Linked DNA regions of Saccharomyces cerevisiae S288C. The gene in region 1 interacts genetically with each later gene. Each region holds a gene or a part of one and is shown in the gene's direction. Other genes may lie near its edges.

The links. A genetic interaction does not mean that the proteins touch.
Region 2: mutations in YPL039W (region 1) and YNR065C together harm fitness less than expected from each alone (positive genetic interaction), as found in Saccharomyces cerevisiae (one large-scale study listed by BioGRID).
Region 3: mutations in YPL039W (region 1) and DDL1 together harm fitness less than expected from each alone (positive genetic interaction), as found in Saccharomyces cerevisiae (one large-scale study listed by BioGRID).

Annotation. Positions count from the first base shown.
Region 1 is NC_001148.4:475,166-481,953, forward strand, and holds YPL039W (uncharacterized protein), read left to right. Parts: upstream 1-4,059; coding exon 4,060-5,010; downstream 5,011-6,788. Other genes in the region: MRX11 (Mrx11p), read right to left, coding at 1-576; isoleucine--tRNA ligase ISM1, read right to left, coding at 828-3,836; YPL038W-A (uncharacterized protein), read left to right, coding at 5,017-5,208; MET31 (Met31p), read left to right, coding at 5,370-5,903; EGD1 (Egd1p), read right to left, coding at 6,263-6,736.
Region 2 is NC_001146.8:747,757-757,124, reverse strand, and holds YNR065C (uncharacterized protein), read left to right. Parts: upstream 1-3,424; coding exon 3,425-6,775; downstream 6,776-9,368. Other genes in the region: DSE4 (endo-1,3(4)-beta-glucanase), read left to right, coding at 1-1,379; YNR066C (uncharacterized protein), read left to right, coding at 2,090-3,400; YNR064C (epoxide hydrolase), read left to right, coding at 7,117-7,989; PUL4 (Pul4p), read right to left, coding at 8,359-9,368.
Region 3 is NC_001147.6:371,117-379,203, reverse strand, and holds DDL1 (putative carboxylic ester hydrolase), read left to right. Parts: upstream 1-3,346; coding exon 3,347-5,494; downstream 5,495-8,087. Other genes in the region: NAD-dependent histone deacetylase HST3, read right to left, coding at 1-985; AHC1 (Ahc1p), read left to right, coding at 1,492-3,192; protein-arginine N-methyltransferase SFM1, read left to right, coding at 5,765-6,406; MCO10 (Mco10p), read right to left, coding at 7,247-7,519. UniProt on the Saccharomyces cerevisiae protein: Probable phospholipase that hydrolyzes phosphatidic acid.

The DNA of each region.
Region 1 (6,788 bases):
TTTCCCAAAATATGGTGCTCCCCAGATACTAATGAAAATGCGTACCGGATATAGTAATTTTACTGTAACGTAGGCTACTGTGCCAGATAAAATCAACTTGTTTTTGTTGAGGCATTCCTGATATCTCTTACCAACAAATTTCTCCATAGCTGTATGACAGCTATCCATTAGGCCATTTAAGAAGTTTGGGAGCTTAAAATCATCAGAAAGATCGAGGTTATAAAGTAACCACCATAGTAGAAACAGTGGTAGTATGGCAGTTACCTCATGCAAGATGAAGAATGATGTAAGTGTTGGAACCGTGCCGGCCTCACTGAGGCGGTCGAAATAGTGTGAAAATTTAGGATTCTTGTTTAACCTTGTTAAAAGTCGTGACTTGGAAAATATTTTACGTAGTCTATCCTCCCTTCTTTTCACTGGATCTAAATTTCCCGATATGAATCTAATTTGGGTTGATCCGCCGGGCCTGGTGTTCATAAACGTGGTCAATTGCGTTGGCCTTTTAAGCATGAGCTCCAACGGTCCAGAGCCCATCTGCAGTTGACAGGGCCTGAAGAAAAGATTCATGACAGTCATGTTCCTGGTGAGGGTGCCTTGGGTGTAACACTTATCCTTACACGGTCTCTCAAAAGCAATATTTTTACATTTCTCTTCTTTGCTTCCTGTTCGTATAACGCGCTGAGAGCTGGTAAGAACAATAGGCCGAGGCCCTGCATCAAAATGTCAGTAGGGGACCTGTTAGGTACCCACTAATAAGTACAAGAGGGTTTTTATTTTCTAAGAGCCAATAATTGGCATTCTTTATATACAGGAAAGGTACATGTCATTCAAGACATGAGATGATCCACAGCTTCTTTACATCTGTCACACAATTTATCCTCTTCGGCTGAGTTGGCCTTCCAACATCTGGGACAGTTGTGCCTTTTGCTTCGTTCAACCAATATTTGAACGTTTATTCCGCTTCCCAATTCAATAGTTGGTAGACTGTTATTATTATCGTCCATTTGCAATATATCAACAGCAGATGATTGCAATATGTCGCAAAGCTCGTCAGAACTGAATGGGAGGTGATGCTTGGTGAAAATGGTAACGTGACTATGTGTTGTTTTGGTGACACCTTCTTCTAGACTTAACCTCTTGAATTCCTCCTGGAACTGTTTTAGAATTTTTAGTTCAAAGTTTTCAAAGGAGGTGACGATTTCCGTATTTGAGTCCAAAAACGGCCATTTTCCACGCATCGGATTAATGTCTATATGTTCTTGTCCTTGTAACCATCCTTCTGGTATATACTTCCATACTTCTTGGACCATAACGGGTAATATTGGTGCAAGAATTGCCCTATATGCATTTAGTATATGGACAAGCGTTGTTTGGACCTGCCTTCTTGCCAATGACGATATTTGGTTGGAATATAAAATATCCTTTGAGATATCAAAATAAAACGCCGATAGCTCGTTATTTAAATGATATTGTAGAGTAATGAGAACCTTGGAAAAGTTGTACTTTTGGTAGTGTTCTCTCGTCGTTTCCAGCAGTTCGTTTATCTTATACAAGGTATATTGATCAACACGGCGTAATTGTTCAATCGGCAAAAGGTTGAAATCTTGGGACTTCTGTAAATTACTCAATAAATAGCGAAAAGTTAGTCTAACCTTTTTTAGAGCTTCTCCTACATGTTTCATCACAGTCGGGCCAGCAACTATATCAGTTGTGAAATTCGATTGTGCTATCAGATACCTCAAGCCATCAACACCCAAAGCTGGTAAGCCTAAGTTTTCATCGCCTCGAATTATTGCTTCGGGAGAAATTGTATTTCCCACAGATTTTGACATTTTCAGACCATTCTCATCTAGGGTAAAACCATGAGTAATCACTTCTTCATATGGTGCAACAGGGACATTACTTGATGCTACTTTTGTTAGCAGTGAACTTTGAAACCATCCTCTATGTTGATCAGATCCTTCTAGACAAACTTGGTACAGGGGGGATGGGAGTTTTGACAACTTTAAGCTTTTTTCATAAAAGTCTTTGATCACACTCCATGACGACCCACTATCAAACCACACATCCATAGTATCTTGAGAACGACAGTATTCATGCGCTACGTCGTGATATTTTTCTGGCAACCATTCTTTCATGTCATTATCTTTATCGTTAAACCATGCATTAATTCCTTTTTGTTTGATTTTTTCTATGGCATGTGCCAAAATTTCTGAATTCATCAAAACAGAATCCGGTTCGCTCTTCTTGTAAAAGCTTAATATAGGGATACCCCATGAGCGTTGCCTAGATATGCACCATTCATTTCTGCTTTTCATAAAGGATGAAAGTCTTGAATAGCCTCTTTTAGGACAAAACTTGACGCGGCTGATGCTTTCCAGAGCCAAGTTTTTTACATCGTGTAAATCTGCAAACCACTGTGGAGTAGCTCTTATTATGACAGGTTTCTTGGATCTCCAGTCGTACGGATAAGAATGCGTGTATTCGTGAGATTTGTAAAGTAAATTAAGGTCGCTTAACTTACATAGAATGATTTTCGCGGTTTCGGCATCCAATACTTGCCTACCTTTTGTTAAGTCTCCTTCATCTCTCACGATGGATCTGACGGACTGAGGAAGTTCATTTAATTGGTAGCGGCCCTGGTGATCCACGGGAGAATAAATTTCAAGACCATTTTGAATACCAATGAGATAGTCATCCTGTCCATGCCCTGGTGCTGTATGAACCAATCCAGTCCCTGTACCGCTGGTAACGTGTGCACCATGTAATAAGGGCCTGCCAACCTTATCGTCTACTAAGAGGTTTTGATAATATAGCCCATTTAGATGAGTTCCTTGAAACTGTTTGATAGTCTCAAATGAGTTAGTTGTTAGGCCCAATTTATCAATGGAGCCGGTCTCTACAAGGATAAGTTCACTATTTAAGCGTAATAGGGAGTAGGAAAAATCCTGATTGAAACAGATTGCTCGATTAGAGAGAAGAGTCCATGGAGTACTGGTCCAAATCAAACAGTATATAGGCAAGTTATTCGTTATTCCTAGTTTTTTGCACAGATCCATCTGGGATTTCTTTTCAAGAGGAAATTTAACATAAGCAGCGATGGATTTATGGTTTTCATTATATTCTAATTCGCCCTCTGCTAACGCTGTTCTAGTTTCTGTACCCCAGTAAACCGGTTTGTTCTGTCTCTTAATCAGTCCTCTTTCGTACATTTCTTTAAAAATATTTAGCTGATTAATTTCATAGTCTTTATCCATTGTTAGGTATGGTGTTTCCCAGTCCGTTAAGATGGCAAAATGTTGGAAAGTTTCCCTTTGCCTCTTGATTGCCTTTTGTGCATGTTTTAAAGCCATTGACCTGATTTTTAAAGGCGATATTGACTCGATCTGTTGCGCGCTTAAATCTTTCAAAGCTTTAATCTCGATGGGTAGTCCATGACAATCCCAGCCAGGCTTATAAAAAATGTACTTCCCCTGTGAAAGTTGATATCTGTTTATGATATCTTTCAGAATTTTATTTAGAGCATGACCGAGATGGAGCTCGCCGTTGGCATAGGGCGGTCCATCATGTAAGATGAACAACTTTTCTTTAATGAACTCTAATTTTTCATCAGTCGTATTAAGCTTTGAAAATTCTTCGAAGAAATCACGTAGCTGCTCCTTGTAAACTAACTGCGAAGATTTTGGTATTAATTCCCTCAATGTAATCTCTAAGTTTGATCTATTAGGGAATTTGGTCTTGGGCAAGTTTAATGTTTTTTGGTAGGCATGTTTGGCGAGATATCGCTTGCTAATAATGCTAAAGATATGTTGAGGCACAAGCCTGGAGCGCTTCATAAGTAGCTAAAGATCGTTCTTAGTATACTGTGTTCCATAACTTCTAGCCTTGGTCCTTTATATTTGCTGTTTTTCTGCGTTTCTTAACTCGCTTGCGGAAAAAGAATCGACATTTTCAGAACAGGATTTTATTGTTTTTAAAGTACATTATATGGGGCGACACATCATCGCCATCTATGTTAAATATTTAAAGAATACGGGGTAGAATTATTCACGCTGGGGGATGCTGAAAGAGGAGTATAATTTGAGCGGTGCTGATAACATGGCATCTGCTGAGTTGTCATTTAAAAAGCAAAAAGTGGTATTGAAAAAGTTCATGATAGCGCAAGTGACTAAGGGGATTATGCAGCGGTATGCGAGCCTATTAGTTACCATGCCTAGTGATGATGACAATGCAATTATTGGCACAAATCATTTGAAAACAACCAAATTTTTAGAAATAATCCTACACAGAGCCAAATCATCGCATTTACAGTTCAAAAAGGTCTGTTGCATTGTCATCAAGTTTCTAGATTGCTGCTCGAAGGAAACTAACTACATGAAGTTTTTAAAGTTCAGCTTACACAAACTATTTGTAGCTGCTTTCATCTTAAGTGTGCCAAATGTTGTAGGCGATGACCGCGACAGGATTACCACGAGGGATGAAACCTATCATCTCTATTCCCAGATAACAGGCTTGCCACTGGAAGAAGTGATAAATTGTTGTTCTATTGTGAGGCCTGTACTTATTCGGCGGAGTAGACAACAACGCAGGCAAATGTTATCTCGACGTGAACAACATTCGTACTTCCTCAGAAGTTCTTTTATGAACTCCAATTCATCAGCATCACCTTTTTTCTCTACCAATAGGTCAGCTGATGATCTACATGTACATACAAGGGCATACTCGCTTCATAGCCATTCCGATGGGGAAGGCCAAGATAGGCGGTCGGAACATGAAGAAACGCATAGCATGGGGGCTGATGCCGATACATATCGACAAACTACGTTTATCCCAGACACACCAAATGGTTTGCATTCTAGATCATTAATTGAGTGTGGGATCGAACCCACCCAAGTAAGTGACTCTGGTGAATGGTCGGGTCAAAGTAACGGATATGTTTTGGTGACAGAATTACAGGAGTTTAACAAAATGGGTAAAAAGTTAGTACAAGAAGCTTTTAGGATAGTTTAATAAAGTATGGTTTGTCGTTTTGTTCATCATTCAAGGGTCATTTTTATTTCCATTTATGATTTCTTGAGTACAAAAGGCAAAAAAAACATGTATAATTATACACAAGAAAAAAAAACAAAACAAAAGAACACTTTCACACAAGCAAGTATATATTATGAGAATTTTTTCGAGTCTTACAGAACCATATCTTGCCTCTAAATTTTAGTCTAAAAATTTTGCTAGCCCATCAATTTTTTTTTTGTTCTAATGCAAAATATAACATGGGTAAGAAAAAGAAAAAGCCGTTCCTCAGTACGTAAAGAGATTTGATCATTAACAAGTTGGGCTCAATATACACAGTCGATAGTCTATATGTGCATATGAAACTGGCGCAAGACATGAATGTAGATGAAATATTTCTCAAACAAGCGGCAGAAGCTATAGCGGTAATCTCATCAAGTCCCACTCATACGGACCCCATAATACGAGAGCTACTCCACAGAATTCGACAATCCAGCCCATTGAGCGCAGTTATACCAGCACCAGAAAATGTTTTAAAGGCTGGGGAGCCGGAAAATATGGCTAGAGGTCTTATAAGGATTCCAGAAACACAAACAAAAAGAACAGGAGGTAACAACCATAGCAAGGAAGGCGCACAGCTCTACAGCTGTGCGAAATGTCAGTTGAAATTCAGCAGAAGTTCTGATCTGAGAAGACATGAAAAGGTACACTCACTCGTGCTGCCGCATATTTGCTCAAACTGTGGCAAAGGGTTTGCCAGGAAGGATGCTCTAAAAAGACATTCTAACACACTGACCTGTCAAAGAAACAGAAAGAAACTAAGTGAAGGTTCAGACGTTGATGTAGATGAGCTCATCAAGGATGCGATAAAGAATGGTACCGGCCTGTTGTAAGGCTAGAGGAAAACGTATTTGTCTCCATCAGCACACCTACACATACATATATAGATAGATATATACTTTAGCCATTGAGATAAGTAGAATAAAAAAACGTTGTAATATTCCGATACAGTTAGTGACATGTTCTCTACTTTTGCCAATTTTTTGCGCACAAAGTGGTGACGTACAAGTTCATCATTTCACGTGTGCAGCATAGTGTGGTATATTGTTTTTTTATATTTTATTTTTTATTTTTTTTTTTTTGCAGAAAACAGTGTTTGTATTATATGCTTTAGATATGCTAAAAAAAATGAAAAAAAATGGAACAAAATATGTGTTTTTTTATTTAACGTTAAAATTAAAGATTAAGTTATTTATTCGACGTCAGCATCAAAAGTTTGACCTTCAACTAACTCTGGAATAGCTTCATCCTTCTTTTCAGCATCAGCTGGAGCCTTGGCTTCGTGCTTTTCCATTTGGGCAGCCAATTGAGACAAGGCTTGGATGGCTTCAGGGCCCAATTGAGAGATAATACCTGGGAACAAATCTTGCAAGTTCTTTTCCTGTGGTAGACCGTAGAATACAGAAGTGTTGTGTTGAGCAGCAACTTGGACACCGACCTTGTTGAAGTGCATGACCTTACCGTCGTCCTTGAAAAAGTTGGCTTCGGCGACGTTGTCAATGGTGACAGCGTGCAACTTAGCTAATTGACTTTGCAACTTGGTGTCATCCTTGTTGGCACCGGCAGAAGAGCCTGCCTTCTTGTTAAGCTTTCTTCTAGTACCACCAACTTTGTTGTTAGCAGACAACTTTTGTAGCTTAGCTAATTTTTCTTGGTCAATTGGCATTATGAATTATGAGTCGCGTCTGGTGTGAGATGTTCTATTCTTAAACCTCCCT
Region 2 (9,368 bases), on another chromosome or scaffold:
AGCTGCAGGGTGTCTCTGACGGTTCTACAGCTACCTATGAATTTTCTTATACCACCCAAGGTGAGTCGGCATCAGGTAGCACAATGATTTTTGCCTTGCCCCATCATGAATCTTCATTTAGTGATATAATGCAAGACTACTATACCGGCATTCAACTCGCTTCTACAACTAAGGGTGTAATGAACGGTTATCTAACAACGAGCCTACAATTTTCCACATCTCTAAACAGACAAATATCTTGGTTACCATGGTCTTCTCAACTTGGCTCAAACCTTTTAGAGTATTCTAAAGAACAATTGCAATTATTAGCTGAAGTTGCCAATTCCGAATTACAGGTTAGTATTTCCGAAAGTATAAGCGGGTTAAACACATATTATTTGGGTAAAGTTATCGATAAGTATTCTTACATTCTATTAACGGTCTCCGAAATCATCCAAGATGAAGCCAGTACTAAGAGTACTTTGGAAAACATCAAATCGGCCTTTGATATTCTGCTACAAAATGAACAGACGTATCCACTAATTTACGACACAAAGTTCAACGGTTTGGTCAGTTCAGGAGATTGGGGTTCCACCAGCACGCAATACGATTTTGGTAACACTTATTACAATGACCATCATTTCCATTATGGTTACATTATTCATGCAGCTGCTGTCATCGGCTATGTTGACTCTAAACTGAATGGTACTTGGGCTGCCGACAATAAAGATTGGGTCAATTCATTGGTAAGAGATGTCGCAAATCCATCTGAAAAAGATGAATACTTTGCACAATCGAGAATGTTTGATTGGTTCAACGGTCATTCATGGGCAGCTGGACTTTATGAAAACGGTAACGGTAAGAACGAAGAAAGTAGTAGTGAAGATTACAATTTTGCCTATGCTATGAAGTTATGGGGGGCCACTATCGGTGACCAGTCAATGGAATTGAGGGGTGACTTGATGATTAGTATAATGAAGGATGCAATGAACGACTATTTCTATTATCAAAATGACAACACAGTTGAGCCTGAAGAAATCATAGGAAATAAAGTGAGTGGTATTTTATTCGATAATATTATCGATTATACTACTTATTTTGGAACAAACACAGAATATATCCACGGTATTCATATGCTACCTATCACACCAGTTTCTTCTAATATTCGTTCTGAGACTTTCGTCGAAGAAGAATGGCAGACTAAAATCGAGCCAATTATTGAATCGATAGAAAGCGGCTGGACAGGCATATTGAAGCTGAATCAAGCACTCTTCGACCCAGTAGATTCGTATGCATTTTTCAGTGATTCAACTTTTGATTCATCCACATATTTGGATAACGGAATGAGTCGCACATGGGCATTAGCATTTTCAGGGGGACTGGCCAACTCAATTGCTTAGAAAGAGAACTTGGCAAGCAGGTCTGTCGAGTCTTTCCCACTACATACATATTTTATAGAATAAATCATTTTTACTTAACTTGAAAGTTGTTGCGTTCGAAAAGACCACGGCTAACGGAGACCACTTAGGTAAATGCATGCCAGTAAGAGGTATATTAGTACTTTAATGAATGAACTTAGCAAGGTAATGCCTGCACTAAAATAAAATTCTAACGTCATCCTAAGAAGCATCAATTGGACATAGTGAGGAAAAGTTTTCACCATTTAAAATTTGTTTTGCAGAATACCATTCTAGACTATGATCCCTTAGAGATTCTCATTCTTTAAATATCAGCTTCAACAGCATATCTTTATAGTATTATCGTACTACTGGCGACATTAGCAAATCAAAGTATTTTTGCTCAGTTTCTAGTTTTATCTGTTTGATTCCCCATTAGATGGTAAACACGTTGTCTTGATGACTGAAAAGGAAGTGAACATGGTCAACTCAAAATAACCAGACTCAAAATAATTGCAATTACCTAGGCTAGATATTTTTAGAATATTATGAGAATATTTTTAGAATATTTGCAACCCAAAATATATTTAAATGCCGCCAATTTGCAACCAAAAGATTATCCGCTACCTTTTTTTTAGTCATTGAATCGTAGCATAAAGTTCCGAGCTTTGAAAAAAAGCTTTGAACTAAGAAAAGGTAAGAGATCCTCAATTATGATATTACTCCAAGTCATATGCACGATTTGGACATGTCTCTTTATTCCGTTACTCAATGCAGAGGAATTCGTCCCCAAAGTAACGGAGACTCTTTCAGAATATTCATTTAGTCTAGAGAGCTTTGACGATTCCAACAGTTTAATCAGATTAGATAATCAAGTCGTGTGGATAAGTTCCGATTCTGGAGAAAATTGGGAAGCGGTCAAAGAAATTGAAGGGCATATTCTCGAATTAATTGTTGATCCTTTGCATGGACAGGACAGGGCTTTTGTTTCGATACATTTATCACCCAAATTTTACGTCACCGATGATCGTGGAAAATCATGGAGGGCTCTGACTATACCCGTCTCTGAAAACTGTCGTTTGGGTACTTCTTGCTCTATAGCTACCCATCCGACAGATAAAAAGTACCTTATTGCAGATTGCCCTTGCTTTATAAACGACAATGGTTATATCCAAATACAAAATGAAACTTACTTTACCAACGATGGGGAATCCTTTTACAATATCGAACCTTCCTTGAAAAAGAAAGAAGATGACCATATAACAAGTTCAAGCTGCAACTTTGTCAAATCTAGCAAGGATTCTGATATTGAGGGTAACGACGCTTCGATACTATGTTTGTTCTCGAACCATGGTTACGATAGCGATCGTCACTTAAGTGCCGCATATACACAATTAGCCTTAAGTACTGATGGAGGTAAAACTTTCAAAAAATTTGATGAGTTTAATGATAAAATTATTTATCAATACAAGATATTAAAATCACATATAATCGTTTCGACACAAGATGATAGATACAATGAAATGTCACCCATGGACATCTGGATATCCAATGATGCGTCTACTTTTCAAAAGGCACGTCTACCTGCTCAAGTACGGCACGTCCATATGTATGGAATTTATGAAGATTCTATTGGAAGAATAATCATTCCTATATCTACGATATTCACAGATGAAAAAAACGACCAACCAGCTCCCTCAGAAATTTTAATATCAGATTCTCAAGGGTTGAAATTTTTACCTGTTGAATGGACAATAAATCCTCACTTTGGTTATATTGATATTGCTTCTCCTCATTTCTTAGAAGGAACAATAATTGGCTCGTTTCATCCTTCCTTTGACTACTCTCATAACAAAGGAAAATATAATAAAAAGATAGCCAGATATGAAACTAAAATATCTGTTGATAACGGCCTCACATGGTCAAATTTGAAAGTGGTTGACGAGGAAAATGCAGATTCATTCCCTTGTGATATCACTAGGCCTGAAAGATGTTCGCTCCAGAACCCTTTTTATAGTATCTAAATCTCAAATCCTACTGCCGGAATTATGTTAATGACAGGTTCCGTTGGCGACGGTAGTGAATTCGATTGGGAAGACCAAAAAACTTTCATCTCTAGAGATGGCGGTTTAACGTGGAGATTTGTTCATAATTCTTCTGGGTTATATGCTACTGGTGACCTGGGAAATATTATTGTGTATATCCCATATGATCCAGAGGAAGATGGCGATTTTCAATCTGAATTTTATTATTCTTTGGACCAAGGTAGAACATGGAATGAATATGAGCTGACCAATGCCATAAGTTCTGTCCATCCCTACAAATTGATAAATCCAACACCAGATGGATCTGGCTCAAAATTTATTTTTAAAGGAACGTTTGCCACTACCGATTCCGAAACCAACAGTATAACTTCTTTAAAAGGTGTCGAGTATATAATTGATTTTTCAGCAGCATTCGACTCTAGAACGTGTGAGGAGGAAGATTTTGAAGATTGGGATTTGGCGGATGGGAAATGTGTTAATGGCGCCAAATACAAGTATAGAAGGAGGAAACAAGACGCCCAGTGTTTGGTAAAAAAAGCATTCAAAGATTTGAGTTTAGATGAAACGCCTTGTAATAGTTGTGGTGAATCCGACTACGAATGTTCGTTTGAATTTGTTAGGGACGCAAACGGCCTGTGTATACCAGATTATAATCTGATTGCCTTTTCCAACATATGTGACAAATCGAAGGATAAATCTGTGTTAGTAGAGCCATTACAATTAATCAAAGGTGATGAATGTAAAACACCCATGAAAATTGAACCCGTTGATATTCCGTGTGACGAAATTCCAGAGGAGGGTTCGAGTGACAGGGAAATAGTGACCACTGAAAACAAATTTGACTTCGAAATTAAATTTTACCAATACTTCGATACAGTTGCCGACGAATCTTTGGTCATGCTGAATTCGATAGGAGACGCCTATATATCCCACGATGGTGGACAAACAATAAAAAGGTTTGACACTAACGGCGAAAAAATTGTTGAAGTTGTGTTTAACCCATATTTCAATTCTTCAGCATATTTGTTTGGCTCTAAAGGTAACATATTCTCAACACACGATAGAGGACACTCTTTTATGATAGCTAAATTACCTGAAGCCAGGCAATTAGGTATGCCACTAGATTTTAGTGCTAAAGCACAGGATACTTTTATTTACTATGGTGGCAAGAATTGTGAATCAATCTTAAGTCCAGAATGTCATGCAGTAGCATACCTCACCAAAGATGGAGGTGAAACTTTTACAGAAATGCTTGATAATGCAATTCATTGTGAGTTTGCAGGCACACTCTTTGAATATCCGTCAAATGAGGAGATGGTTATGTGCCAAGTAAAAAAGAAGTCTTCAGAAACAAGAAGCTTGGTTTCTTCGATAGATTTTTTCCAAGGTGATAATAAAATTATCTTTGAAAACATTATCGGCTACTTGTCCACTGGTGGCTATATTATTGTTGCCGTACCTCATGAAGACAATGAGTTGAGGGCATATGTAACTATTGATGGTACTGAGTTTGCCGAGGCAAAATTCCCGTATGGTCAAGATGTTAGTAAGCAAGAGGCATTCACTATTTTAGGATCTGAGAAAGGATCGATATTTTTACATTTAGCAACAAACTTAGAATCAGGACACGATTTTGGAAACCTTTTGAAATCCAACTCGAATGGTACTTCTTTTGTCACTTTAGAGCATGCCGTTAATAGAAACACATTCGGTTATGTCGACTTTGAAAAAGTTCAAGGTCTTGAAGGTATTATTATTACCAACATCGTTTCGAATAGGGAAAAGGTTGGAGAGAACAAGGAAGACGAACAATTGAAGACGAAAATCACCTTTAATGACGGTTCAGATTGGAACTTTTTGAAGCCTCCAAAGAAGGATTCGGAAGGGAAAAAGTTTCCCTGTGATTCTGTATCATTAGATAAATGTTCTCTACATTTGCATGGTTACACTGAACGTAAGGATATCAGGGATACATATTCCTCCGGTTCCGCGTTAGGAATGATGTTTGGTGTCGGAAATGTTGGCGATAAGCTTCTACCATATGAGGAGTGTTCCACTTTTTTAACCACTGATGGAGGAGAGACGTGGACTGAGGTTAAAAAAGGCCCCCATCAATGGGAGTACGGTGATCATGGTGGAGTCTTGGTTTTGGTCCCCGAAAACGCAGAAACTGATTCTATTTCTTACTCCACCGATTTTGGTAAAACATGGAAAGATTATAAATTCTGTGGCGACAAAGTCCTCGTAAAGGATATAATCACCGTTCCCAGAGATTCTGCTTTGAGGTTTTTGCTATTTGGAGAAGCAAAAAACATGGGTAGTGGTTCATTCAGAACGTATACAATTGATTTTAGAAACATCTTCGAGAGGCAATGTGAGTTTGATATTACGGGTAAAAAAAGGGCAGATTTTAAGTACTCTCCTCTGGGTTCCAGAACTGGTTGTCTATTTGGTCATCAAACCGAGTTTTTACGTAAAACCGATGAAAAATGTTTTATTGGGAATATTCCACTTTCTGAATTTTCGAGGAACGTCAAAAACTGTTCATGTACGAGGCAAGATTTCGAATGTGACTATAATTTTTATAAAGCCAGTGATGGTACTTGTAAATTAGTCAAAGGCTTAAGTTCGGCGAATGGTGCCGATATCTGCAAAAAGGAACCCGACTTAATTGAATACTATGATTCCTCTGGCTATCGAAAAATTCCCTTATCAACCTGTAAAGGTGGGCTGAAATTGGATGCACATTTAGCACCACATCCTTGTCCGGGAAAAGAAAAGGCATTCAGGGAAAAATATTCTATAAACACCGGCGCTTATGCGCTGGTTTTTGTTACAATTCTTCTCGTTATTTTCTTTGCCGCATGGTTTGTATACGATAGAGGTATCAGGAGAAATGGGGGATTTTCAAGATTTGAAGAAATAAGATTAGGAGACGATGGGCTGATAGAAAACAATAGGACCGATAGAGTTGTCAACATCATTGTAAGACTAGGATTATGCATTTCTTTAATTACCAAGTCTGCATTTCAACGCACGAAGGCAGGTGTAGCACGCTTTTCTTCAAAATTAAGGGCAAGGTTTGGCAACAGAAAAGGTCCTACTTACTCTTCGCTGCTTCAGGGTCAGTTTTCAGATGAATCAGATGGCTTGCATGAAGATGCTAACGATTTATCCAGTTTCACAAGTCAAGACAGTAATTTTGAAATTGAACAAGAAGATGCTTACAGACCCGAACAAGAGCACACGTCACAGATAGACCAGCCTGCCACTAGCAATATTCCAGACGCATTGCCAGCACGTAGTGCTATTCACAAGCCTGATTCAACTGCTGTGCGCAACGAGGACGAGTAAATAGATTTTTTTAATAGACTAAATAATCGTATGTTTGCTAACAAAAAGTACGCATATGCATTTTCTCAATATTGTGCATTTTCTAAATCTCCATTCACCTTTGTTATTAACATAGTCATTTAAAGGTATGATAATTCAGTATTCATCTTTTCCACAGACGGCGCTGCATGCCATTCGTCTGTAACTTGCCTAGGGACTGCGCCGCACATAATCGTGACAGAAATTTCAAAAGTGATAGGAGCCAAAAGTGATAGGAGCCAAAAAGAACATATATAAGCACGATCAAATTAACTGAACTTGACCACTTTTCTTTCACTGTCAGAATTGGACGAAGGACAAAAATGTCAAATATCATTGCAAGATTTCACAAGATTCAAGTTCAAGACGGTGTAAAGGTTTGGTACCGTGAGGCCGGTGCAGCAGGTAACCCCACAATTTTATTGCTACATGGGTTCCCTACATCTTCCAACATGTTCAGGAACCTCATTCCCTTACTAGCTGGACAGTTTCACATCATTGCTCCGGATCTTCCTGGGTTCGGATTTACGGAAACGCCAGAAAACTACAAGTTCAGCTTTGATTCCCTTTGTGAAAGTATAGGATATTTGTTAGATACTTTGAGTATTGAAAAATTTGCCATGTATATATTTGATTATGGATCTCCGGTAGGTTTTCGGTTAGCCTTGAAGTTTCCCTCCAGAATTACTGGCATTGTTACTCAAAACGGTAATGCTTACGAAGAGGGTCTCGATGACCGCTTTTGGGGTCCGTTGAAGGAATATTGGAAGTCATATCAAAGTGATCCGGTATTTGTTAAATCCCTTATCCCGTACCTTGAAGATCCAGCTAATGTCATATGCCAGTACCATGATGGAGTACCAGCTATCGAATCTGTTGATCCCGCCGCTTATACGCTTGATATTGCGCTAATTCAGCGTACCGGCCAGACCGATATTCAATTGAGATTATTTTTCGATTATCAGAATAATATAAAGTTGTACCCAGCCTTTCAAAAGTTCTTGAGAGATTCAAAGATTCCTGTGCTAGTTGCATGGGGTGCGAATGATACTATTTTTAGCGTTGCCGGGGCTGAAGCTTATCGGAAAGACGTTGATAATTTAAAGGTTGTTTACTATGATACTGGCCATTTTGCGCTTGAAACTCACGTAGTTGCTATTGCCGAAGAAATCATCAGTATGTTTGCAGAAAATTAAAGATACTAAGTTCTTGTGACAATGTTTTCTGAGAAGAATCTCTCGTATTTTGTTTAATTGCCAAAAACACATATGTTTCGACTCACATAGAGTTGCCTCAGAGCGTTCTTTTGTTACCCATTATTGCTCATAAATAAGTCAAAACAGATGTCTGGTCGCATTATCAAGGGTTTGTACTGGTAGCCCGGTGACAATATATTAATCTAAGCATATAACATTTTTAGTAAGTTCTTCAGCCACCTTTTTTACGATCTATGTTGTTTTGAAGGGTAAACCTACTACCATGTCATATGGATCTTTCCCCTAGTAAACTTGTATCTCAAAAGGTCATTTCTGAATAAAGTGTCAAAAAATCAGCTAGGAAACGGTTTAGTAAAGTATGCGACCCCAAAATTCGACAAAGCTATCACCACTCAGCTGTACTGGACTGATCGGATATTTGATTATATCAATAAGGTTTTGTTCAATAGGAAGTACCTGAACTAAATCTTGCAATATTTCCAATGCTAGAATGTATTCAAATAGTTCAGTACCTTTAAGGAACTGCACCACCTGCTTATACCTTAGGAGTATAATACATGAAATACATAATGTCAGTGACGCTGTTCTTAAAGGATAACAAAAATTCCAATCCAAACGTTCATGCCTTTCCTTTTCGTTATCGGGAAACTGTTTAGTGTATTGACTCCATATTTCGTGAATTATTGATTTTGCCATGGTTACTGCTTGTAAGGATTCTCCAGTGATCAGATACGGACGATATAATAGAAAAGAAGCTTGAGCTCTTAAACATGATAGCTCTAACATTAAGACTCTGCTCCTGTAAAAAAGATGTTCTTCGAATATCGGAAAGCCTTTTAACCTGGTAATCTGGAGTGAAACCTCCTCAAATTCTCTTTCTAAGTTTACGAATGGTACCTCGTTTGCGGTGCTGGAAGTATATAGCCGTTGAAAAATCTTACTTTGTAGAGTGGCTAGCTTGATTCTGATTTGCATGAAATCTATCAAAAGTTTATTAGTTTTATTGCGGGGGGATATTTCACACGGCAGAGGTGTTGTAATTTGTTCCAAAGTGATAAAAGGATTTTTTCCATGAATTGTTGCCAACATGCAAGAAGAACACCAAATGTTCCAAAAAAGCAAGATCACACCAATTCCGTCGCTGTTCGACTCAAGTAATTCCTTGCATTTTGTATTGTTGTTCAAGTTTAAAGCCACAGCAAGTTGTAAAGCATTTATACTCAAATATAATTGGTGCTCTAAGGATATCATCATCGTCATGAAATTTGCCATTAGAACGAGGCCGCAAAATCCATCGATTGTGGGATGAGATAACAAGTCGGGAACAAGCGTTTTCGCAGCATTATAGTACTTAAAAG
Region 3 (8,087 bases), on another chromosome or scaffold:
TTTGGTAGTCTATAATGCCGTGCCAAGAGGATTCGCCAATGGGTGTCTTGTTTACGAGAATGATCAGGCCGCCACGATCGTGAATTTTCTTACTTAATTTTTTTACCAGTTGTTTCACACCATCAACTTTCAAACTTGTACCCATGATGATCAAAAAATCAGGATTGCCTTTAATTATGTCAAGATTTAGGCCTTGCGTAATAATTTCACAGGATGGATGGTTTTCACCATACAGGACGATATTAGGTCTTAGAATACCCACATTAGAACCAAGAGTTCGCTTTCCTTCATTCAATCTCTTGTTGATAAGTGCTTCGCAATCCGGACACAATGGTAACTCACCTCTTCTTAGACAACGAGACCAGTACCTGCTCCAGGGAAAAGTCTGGAAGCACTTTGTACACGAAAGAGTTTTCAGGTCGCCGTGCAACTGAACGACATCCAGATTTTTCCAATGTGAACTAAATGAGGTAAGCGGTAATTTCCTATTTGATAAAGTAAGTCCTATGCTTTCTTCGAGCCCATCGATGTTTTGCGTGTAACAGCGCAGCAGTTTGTTCCTATCTTTTAGATGCGCAATGAACTTGTGCGTCTTAGTCGGCTTTGCCAATTGAACATTTGAATAGAGCCTCTCCATAAATTTAGCAAAAATGGATATTTTGAAGTCATCTCTAAATAGCGAAATATCAAACATTTCCCTGCCGGACTTGATAGACCAATACTGTGAACAATCCTTTTTCACTAGGTCGTAGAGCCCATCAGAAGAGCGAAAGTCAGGAATGCCCGCGTTGCACGAAATGCCTGCCCCAGTCAGACAAGCAATTCTCCTAGATCTGCTCAACTGCTTGGTTACGCGCCGGAGAACTTCATCGTCGGCATCAAGACCTATAATATGTGCCAGTTTCTCAGTCTGCAAAGAGGACGGTAAGTCGGAGCACATTGAGCCCGATCGACTGGCAGGTGGCGAGGGCGATACTGAAGTCATTTTTGAGAAAGATGGATCTAGTTGTATGTAAATTAATCCCTTCAGTTTTTACACCACTAACCACGTATTTGCCCTTGCTTGTGTTATATATAAGACGTACGCCAGATATAGTTCTCTGGCACGAATAACATTGCTTGCTTTTATTGACGTTTTACCCTTTGTGGTAACAGCAAACATAAACGTCGTTCGTGATGTTGAGTTACTTATTGTTACCCGCAATTGAGGGATACCCGCCACAGAAACACATGCAGTGCATTTGCCACTGTGCATAGCCGTAGGAAGAGGGAAAAACGAACAGGGAAGAAGCAGGAAGAGCAGACAGCAAGAACCCGTGCTAAGGAAGGTGATGAACTTTGGCCACTGAAGGCGCATTTTACCTCTGAAGGATCCCGTTTCCACATTTGTAAGCTAGTGTTCGTTCATATAAACACCCTGATCTTCGGCATTTCACTACTCTTCGGGCTCACGCTTCTCATCCAACACTTTGTGTATATGTCCATCTCCTCATGATGAGTCCCGCCCAAGATAAACTGCAGCACCAGCATCATAATCCTAATTCTTCCTCATCGTCATCCTCTAAGATGACGAACGTTTATCAGGTTACCACGCCAAAGTCTCCTCAGGATTTGGAAAACAACATGGATGAGCCCTTCAAAATGGACACCGCCACCAGTAATCCGGACAAGGATAGCGAAAATACCCAGCGGTTGAAGTACGAATGTGCCAAAGGGGAAATACAGAATGTTTTGAACCTACATATAATGCTAAACCACAAGCATGTTAGGCACTTACGAAGAAATGTTCAAAAGGTTAACGCAAAACTAGCTCTCTTGGAAACCCTGCATAAGGATACTGGTCTATTGAACAAAATCGAACGGACGTATCAACTCAAAATAAAACAACATCAGCAGCATAGCGTGCTCGGCGGCCACTTTCACGACAGTACGGCTACGGAAAATACGAACGCATCAAATTATAACCTGTCATACCCGGTTCTATCGGATTATAACATCAACTGTCAGCCTTTGTCTTCGAGCAGCAACAGAAATCTGTCAACAACACGCATACCACACCACCATTATCATACTAGAAGCAAGAGTAACGGGCTTTTGCTAGAACCTTCTGCCCTCCGTCCGGCAAATTCGAATATAATTGATTACAGGCTAACAGGTTCTAAATCTCTATCAGAAGCCATAACCAAGCCCACTCCCGTCTCGCTTCCTCACTCTAATTCGGATGGCATTTCTTCACCTCGTTCCTCCTCAATCTCCCCCTTAGACGAGCAGCCGGGGTTCCAGATACTCCCTTTTAAACCAAGTCAGATGCATCTTAACCACAGACGTAATTACAGTAGCACTTGTTTGACGAGCAATAGCGGTATCATCGGTAAGACTGAAAATAATGAGCCCATTTTTAGAAGATATGACGGCATTTTGGTTATAATTACGTGCTCCAAATGTGACCGTTCCGGTTTCACTTCCGCGCAAGGTATCGTGAACCATACTCGACTAAAACATTCTAAACTATATTCAAGCCAACCATTGGCAGTTTTAAACAACCAAAAACTACTTCCTAATGATAAGCAGGATCCGGAAATTTTATCTAAGTTCAAGAAACTAAATTTGGACCCAAACAAAGACTACCTACCCTCTGACATTGCAATCCCAAAACCACAATCACCAATCAACCACTCCGAGAACCATACGCGGGCTCCAAAGACTGTCAAGAACACTCCTCATTTAGAAAAACTATACCAAAATAAAGAAGACTTCAAAAAACTGATTGACATGGTTAATGAAACTCCGGATGATTTGAATGAATATTTGAAGCAACGTGAAATTCAATTAAGATATCAAAAGGAGCAAGAAGAGGAATCTTCCAAATCTGATGACGAAGCTTCTTACGTCCCATCACCGTCTCTCTCAGCAACGGCTACAACAACAACGACTACGGACCCACCCTCTCCGCCAGTGCTATCCTCCTCCTTACAAAGAAAATTGCTGCGTAAGAGAAAACTGAGCTTGAATAGCTCTACTCCCATGGAAGATTTACCTTTAAGAGAAAGGTTGAGAGCAAATCCCACTGACAAGAAACCAAGAAAAGCGGCCCTTTTGACTAATGAACTTGAGGGTCCTGATCCTGCAGCAAAATCATCATCTTATTACAATCTAAGGTCGAAATCAAGACTGCGTGGTTCTCATACATAGTACACACATATAAATAAGTAAATTACGTAATATAATATTCTGTTGGTTTTCTGACCTAATTTGTCGCTTTGGAAGAAAAAGTGGATTGTATTTTTTTGCATATTCCCTAATATTGAAGATCACTGAATATACTCACAGTGAACAATTACTTGAAATGCTACGGTTTACTCATCGAGGCCTTCCCTCCAGCACTCGTTTTAGAAACATTTTCGTAAGGTTAAATCACATTTATGTACCATGGTTCTATGCCATAGACGTACCCAACTCCAAACCCTATTTACCCACATATCAAACTTTACACTCACCCAAAAAGTTTAAGCCGTTCTCCGTTGATGATTCTAATCGTTTGGAAAAGGCCAGTAAGCGTCAAGAACGCAGGCCTGTTTTAGTCAACGAAGATTACCTGTTTAAAGTCGACCTCTCTCACATGGAATTGTCCCCTACCTATTGGGAAGGCCCTACTTATCAAGTACGAAGAGGTGTGTGGTTCGACTCTTCAAATCAACCTTTGTCCAGTGATCTTACCTCCGAAATTGAAGGGTTGTATAAGCAGCTCAAATTCGACGACAGTAATGATGATCCGACCACGACACCTCCTGCAGAATCGCAAGATATATTTAGGCTCAAAGGTAAATACCCAGTCGATAAAGAAAACGAAGGAGAGCAAAAAAATGGATCCAGCAATAAAGATGAGAACGAATCTACTTTCAAGTTTATTTTGTTTGCCAATAAACAAACTGCATTTTTACTATCGGATTTAGATGGAGGAAAACTGCAATTAGCCTTTCTAAGGTCTAATCTGGCTCAATCCTTACCGATTAATGCTACAATGATTACAAGATCATACAAATATTCATCCTCCGCAACTACTAAACAGACATCCACATCTTTTAAGGCAGCAAAAACGCCTCAAACGGAAGTAGCAGATGGTAGTAACAGTTCCAAATCGAGGAGCATTGAAACAAAGTTAGAAAAGAAAGTTTCAAACCTCTTCAATTTATCGGACTTTTTACAGTTGTTCAATGGTAATGCTAGTAAAGATCAAGATGATGCACAGAGCTTGGAAAAGCAAATGGAAACAGACTATAACAATGCAGATAACAGTCAAGGCGCTAATGCTAGTAGCAAAATAGAAGATGGCAAAAATTCGGGCGCAAGCGATAGACAAATTAGAAGTAACAGAAGAGATGTGGATAACTTGATACTATGCGTTCACGGTATAGGTCAGACTTTGGGTAAGAAGTACGAATACGTAAATTTCGCACACACGGTAAATCTACTTAGGTCTAATATGAAAAAAATCTACAATAATTCTGAGAAACTACAATCATTAAACACAGCACCTGATTATAAAAGCAACTGTAACGTTCAAGTGCTACCCATCACCTGGAGGCACTCGATAAGTTTCCAAACGGATGCTAAGGAGGAAAATATAGAAAATCCTGACCTACCGACTTTGTCACAAGTCACAGTAAATGGAGTGTTACCCTTGAGGAAGCTACTGGCTGACGGTCTACTAGATATTTTGTTGTATGTCGAACCATACTACCAAGATATGATTCTACAACAAGTAACCTCTCAATTGAACAAAACATATCGGATTTTTAAAGAATTTAATCCAGAGTTTGATGGGAAAGTCCATTTAGTGGGCCATTCGTTGGGTAGTATGATATTATTTGATATTCTATCCAAACAAAAAAAATATGAATTAGAATTTCAAGTAGACAACCTGTTCTTTATTGGCTCACCAATTGGATTGTTAAAGTTAATTCAAAGAACAAAAATTGGTGACCGTCCCGAATTTCCCAATGACTTGGAGAGAAAATTAACCGTACAGAGACCGCAATGTAAGGACATTTATAATGTTTACCACGTCTGTGATCCCATTTCTTATAGGATGGAACCTCTTGTTAGTAAAGAAATGGCTCATTACGAACAAACTTATTTACCACATTGTAGTGAAGCTTATGGACTAACTTCTAAAGTTTTGGAATTTGGCGAAAACATATGGAAAGATTTGCCAGGTACTGATGAAAATAATTTGCAGTCCAAAAAAACTTCTCCAGAAAAAAAAGAGGTCAAGTTATCAGAAAATCTTACGAGAATGCTTACAGGTTTGAATTACACCGGACGTCTAGATTATGCTATGTCTCCAAGTCTGCTAGAAGTGGATTTTATATCAGCTATAAAATCACATGTTTCTTATTTCGAAGAACCGGATATTGCAGCGTTTATCCTAAAAGAAATTTTAAGTAAACATGAAAATGCATCAGAAATATATGTAAAAAGAAAGACTGGTTGATCAGTAAACGCAAGGCACAAGTTTTTTTTAACTTTTTTCTTTACTGTCTATTATAGTTCCACTGTGTAAGGTTGTATTCTTTCCGTACTTCAACTTGCGGGTAACAGGATTGACACCTTTTCAATTTTTTCCGTTATTTTGGATTAGAAATTTTCGGTAAGCTCATCGAGTATTGTAAAAGAGCAATGCCCTTTGCTTATTAGATGTTGAGGGGCATATCTATTGTTAATATAGATTGATACAGCTGTGGAGATTATTTCTAGATATACGATGAAGTACATTATTGAGCATATGGAGGAAGGGTTTAGTGAATGGGTCATTTTAGAGTATAGCCAAATCCTGAGAGAAGTAGGAGCTGAAAACTTGATTTTATCATCGTTACCAGAGAGTACCACGGAAAAGGACATCCCTCAAAGGCTACTAAAACTTGGTTTAAGATGGACTACAAAGGATTTGAAGGGCATTAACGAAGATTTCAAGGATTTGGAACTGTTAAAAGATGGCAGAGTCTGTCTATTGGACCCTAGGGCTACAATCGATTTACAGCCGGAGGATGCTACGAAATTCGACTATTTCGTATTTGGTGGCATATTGGGTGATCATCCTCCAAGAGATCGTACCAAAGAACTAAAGACTGCCTATCCGAATCTTTTAATTAGCAGAAGACTAGGTGATAAACAAATGACTACGGATACTGCCATAAGAACAACACAGTTGATTATCAAAGACAGGATTGCATTTGAAGACATCAAGTTCATTGACTACCCTGAATTTAGGTTCAATAAAAATGAGGCCACGGAAATGCCATTTAGATACGTTTTAGATAAAGAAGGTAAACCTATTTTGCCTGAAGGGATGTTGGATTTGATCAAGAAGGATTCTGCTCAAAGTTTGGACGATCTGTTGATGTAGATGAGAACAGTCCTTTAAGTAACATTCTATGGTTGTAATAAGTGATGATGCTTCCTTGTCAAAGAGTTAGTTGAAAAGTTTAGGGTCGTAGCATTAATTATATTGTATATAGTTCAAAAACGACATTCAATGAAAAAATCAAGTTTATTAGCCAATGAATATTTCGTATTTTGCGTTAGTAGCGCTACCAAGACTTCTGAAAAGTGCATGCAAGAAAAATAAAAACAAGGAACCGTTTACTTTTATGATATCATCATTGTCAGGCCAAATAGGATAAAATTGATTGGTTGTATTATGCTTTTTAATTGAAAAAAAAAGTAGAAACTTTTATTATTTTATTTAAATTAATTTCTTTACATTACTTGCATCTAAAACCAAACGAGCTGGTGACTTCAAGCACTGCACTAGTTGCCATGGCTTTGCTAATTCAGACGACCCCCTTGAGGTGAAAAAATAGTCTCAGTAATGAAACAATCATAGGCAATTAGTTCGATTTTTTATAATTATCTTCCAGCCTTTCAAATATTGAAAGGCCATCAACTATCACTTACACCTGAGTGTTGTCATTGATCCGTAAAGTAAAAAGAGGCAAGTTTTGTGCATATTCGTATCATGCACAATGGCCTAAGGCAAGTATTTTCAGTGTTTTTTTTTTTTCATTGCCGTTTTGCTATTCAGAATATATTGAATTATATGTATAATGCATACTTAATAGAAAGAAGGACGCTAATTTTCGTTATAGAACAGTAGTTTCAAAAAGTGCTTCAAGTTTATAGAAATCAGTGCATCCCTTCACTGAACGATGAAGAACACCACCATTTCAGAAATTTTTATACATAATCAGTTGGCTTTCGTATCCTGCCTCGTATCTTTCTCTAAATCATTTAAAAATCCTTCAATACTCTTTACGACATCATCGTCCTTTCCCATAGCATCTGAGTTTGAACTTTCACCGCTTTTTTGTTGGCTCAAGGCAGAACTATTCTTGCCTTCATTTTTGGTTTTTGGTTTCGTGGTAAAGTAAGATGCCACTGCAGCAGTAGCGATAAACGTAGATATAGCCAATACGTGAGGTTGAACCGTCTTCCCAAATACTTTGTATGCAGCACCCATTGAGATAGCTATATTTATTTTTGTATATCTTATGTTTAGAAACAGTAGCGACCTTTCTTACTTGTTCCTTCAAAACTTGACTTAGATAACTATTTACCCTTAAACCGTTAGCTCTGTATTATGGACTGTGAAATTACACCTCGTTACCCGAAGTTCTATTATATTTTCAATCCATACTCCTATGATCTCTTCATTGGGAAAAAAAGGTCCACTTTCTCCTGGATTGCTCGAAGGCTTTCCGTAAAGAAAATACCTTTTATTTTTCTTTGCTTTCTTTCTCCATTAAATAGTAAACGCCTCTTTCTGAGGCAGCTGGCTAAAAAAATGTAACAAGGAATTTTATTTTATTACGGTTCAGCAAAGGCCGTAACGATAGTTGTATTATTTTCGTTCATATGTAGCAGCGATGGTAGCATTTTTTATTGTATAAATTGTGGCTTGCGTCGATTATCTTATTATGCCACTCATAATAAAAAGTTACTCTCAAAATGTCAATATTCAATAATGCATGTCTGTCTTTTTAATTTAGTACATACGTAGGATTAGGTATTGGAAGCAATCATAATGA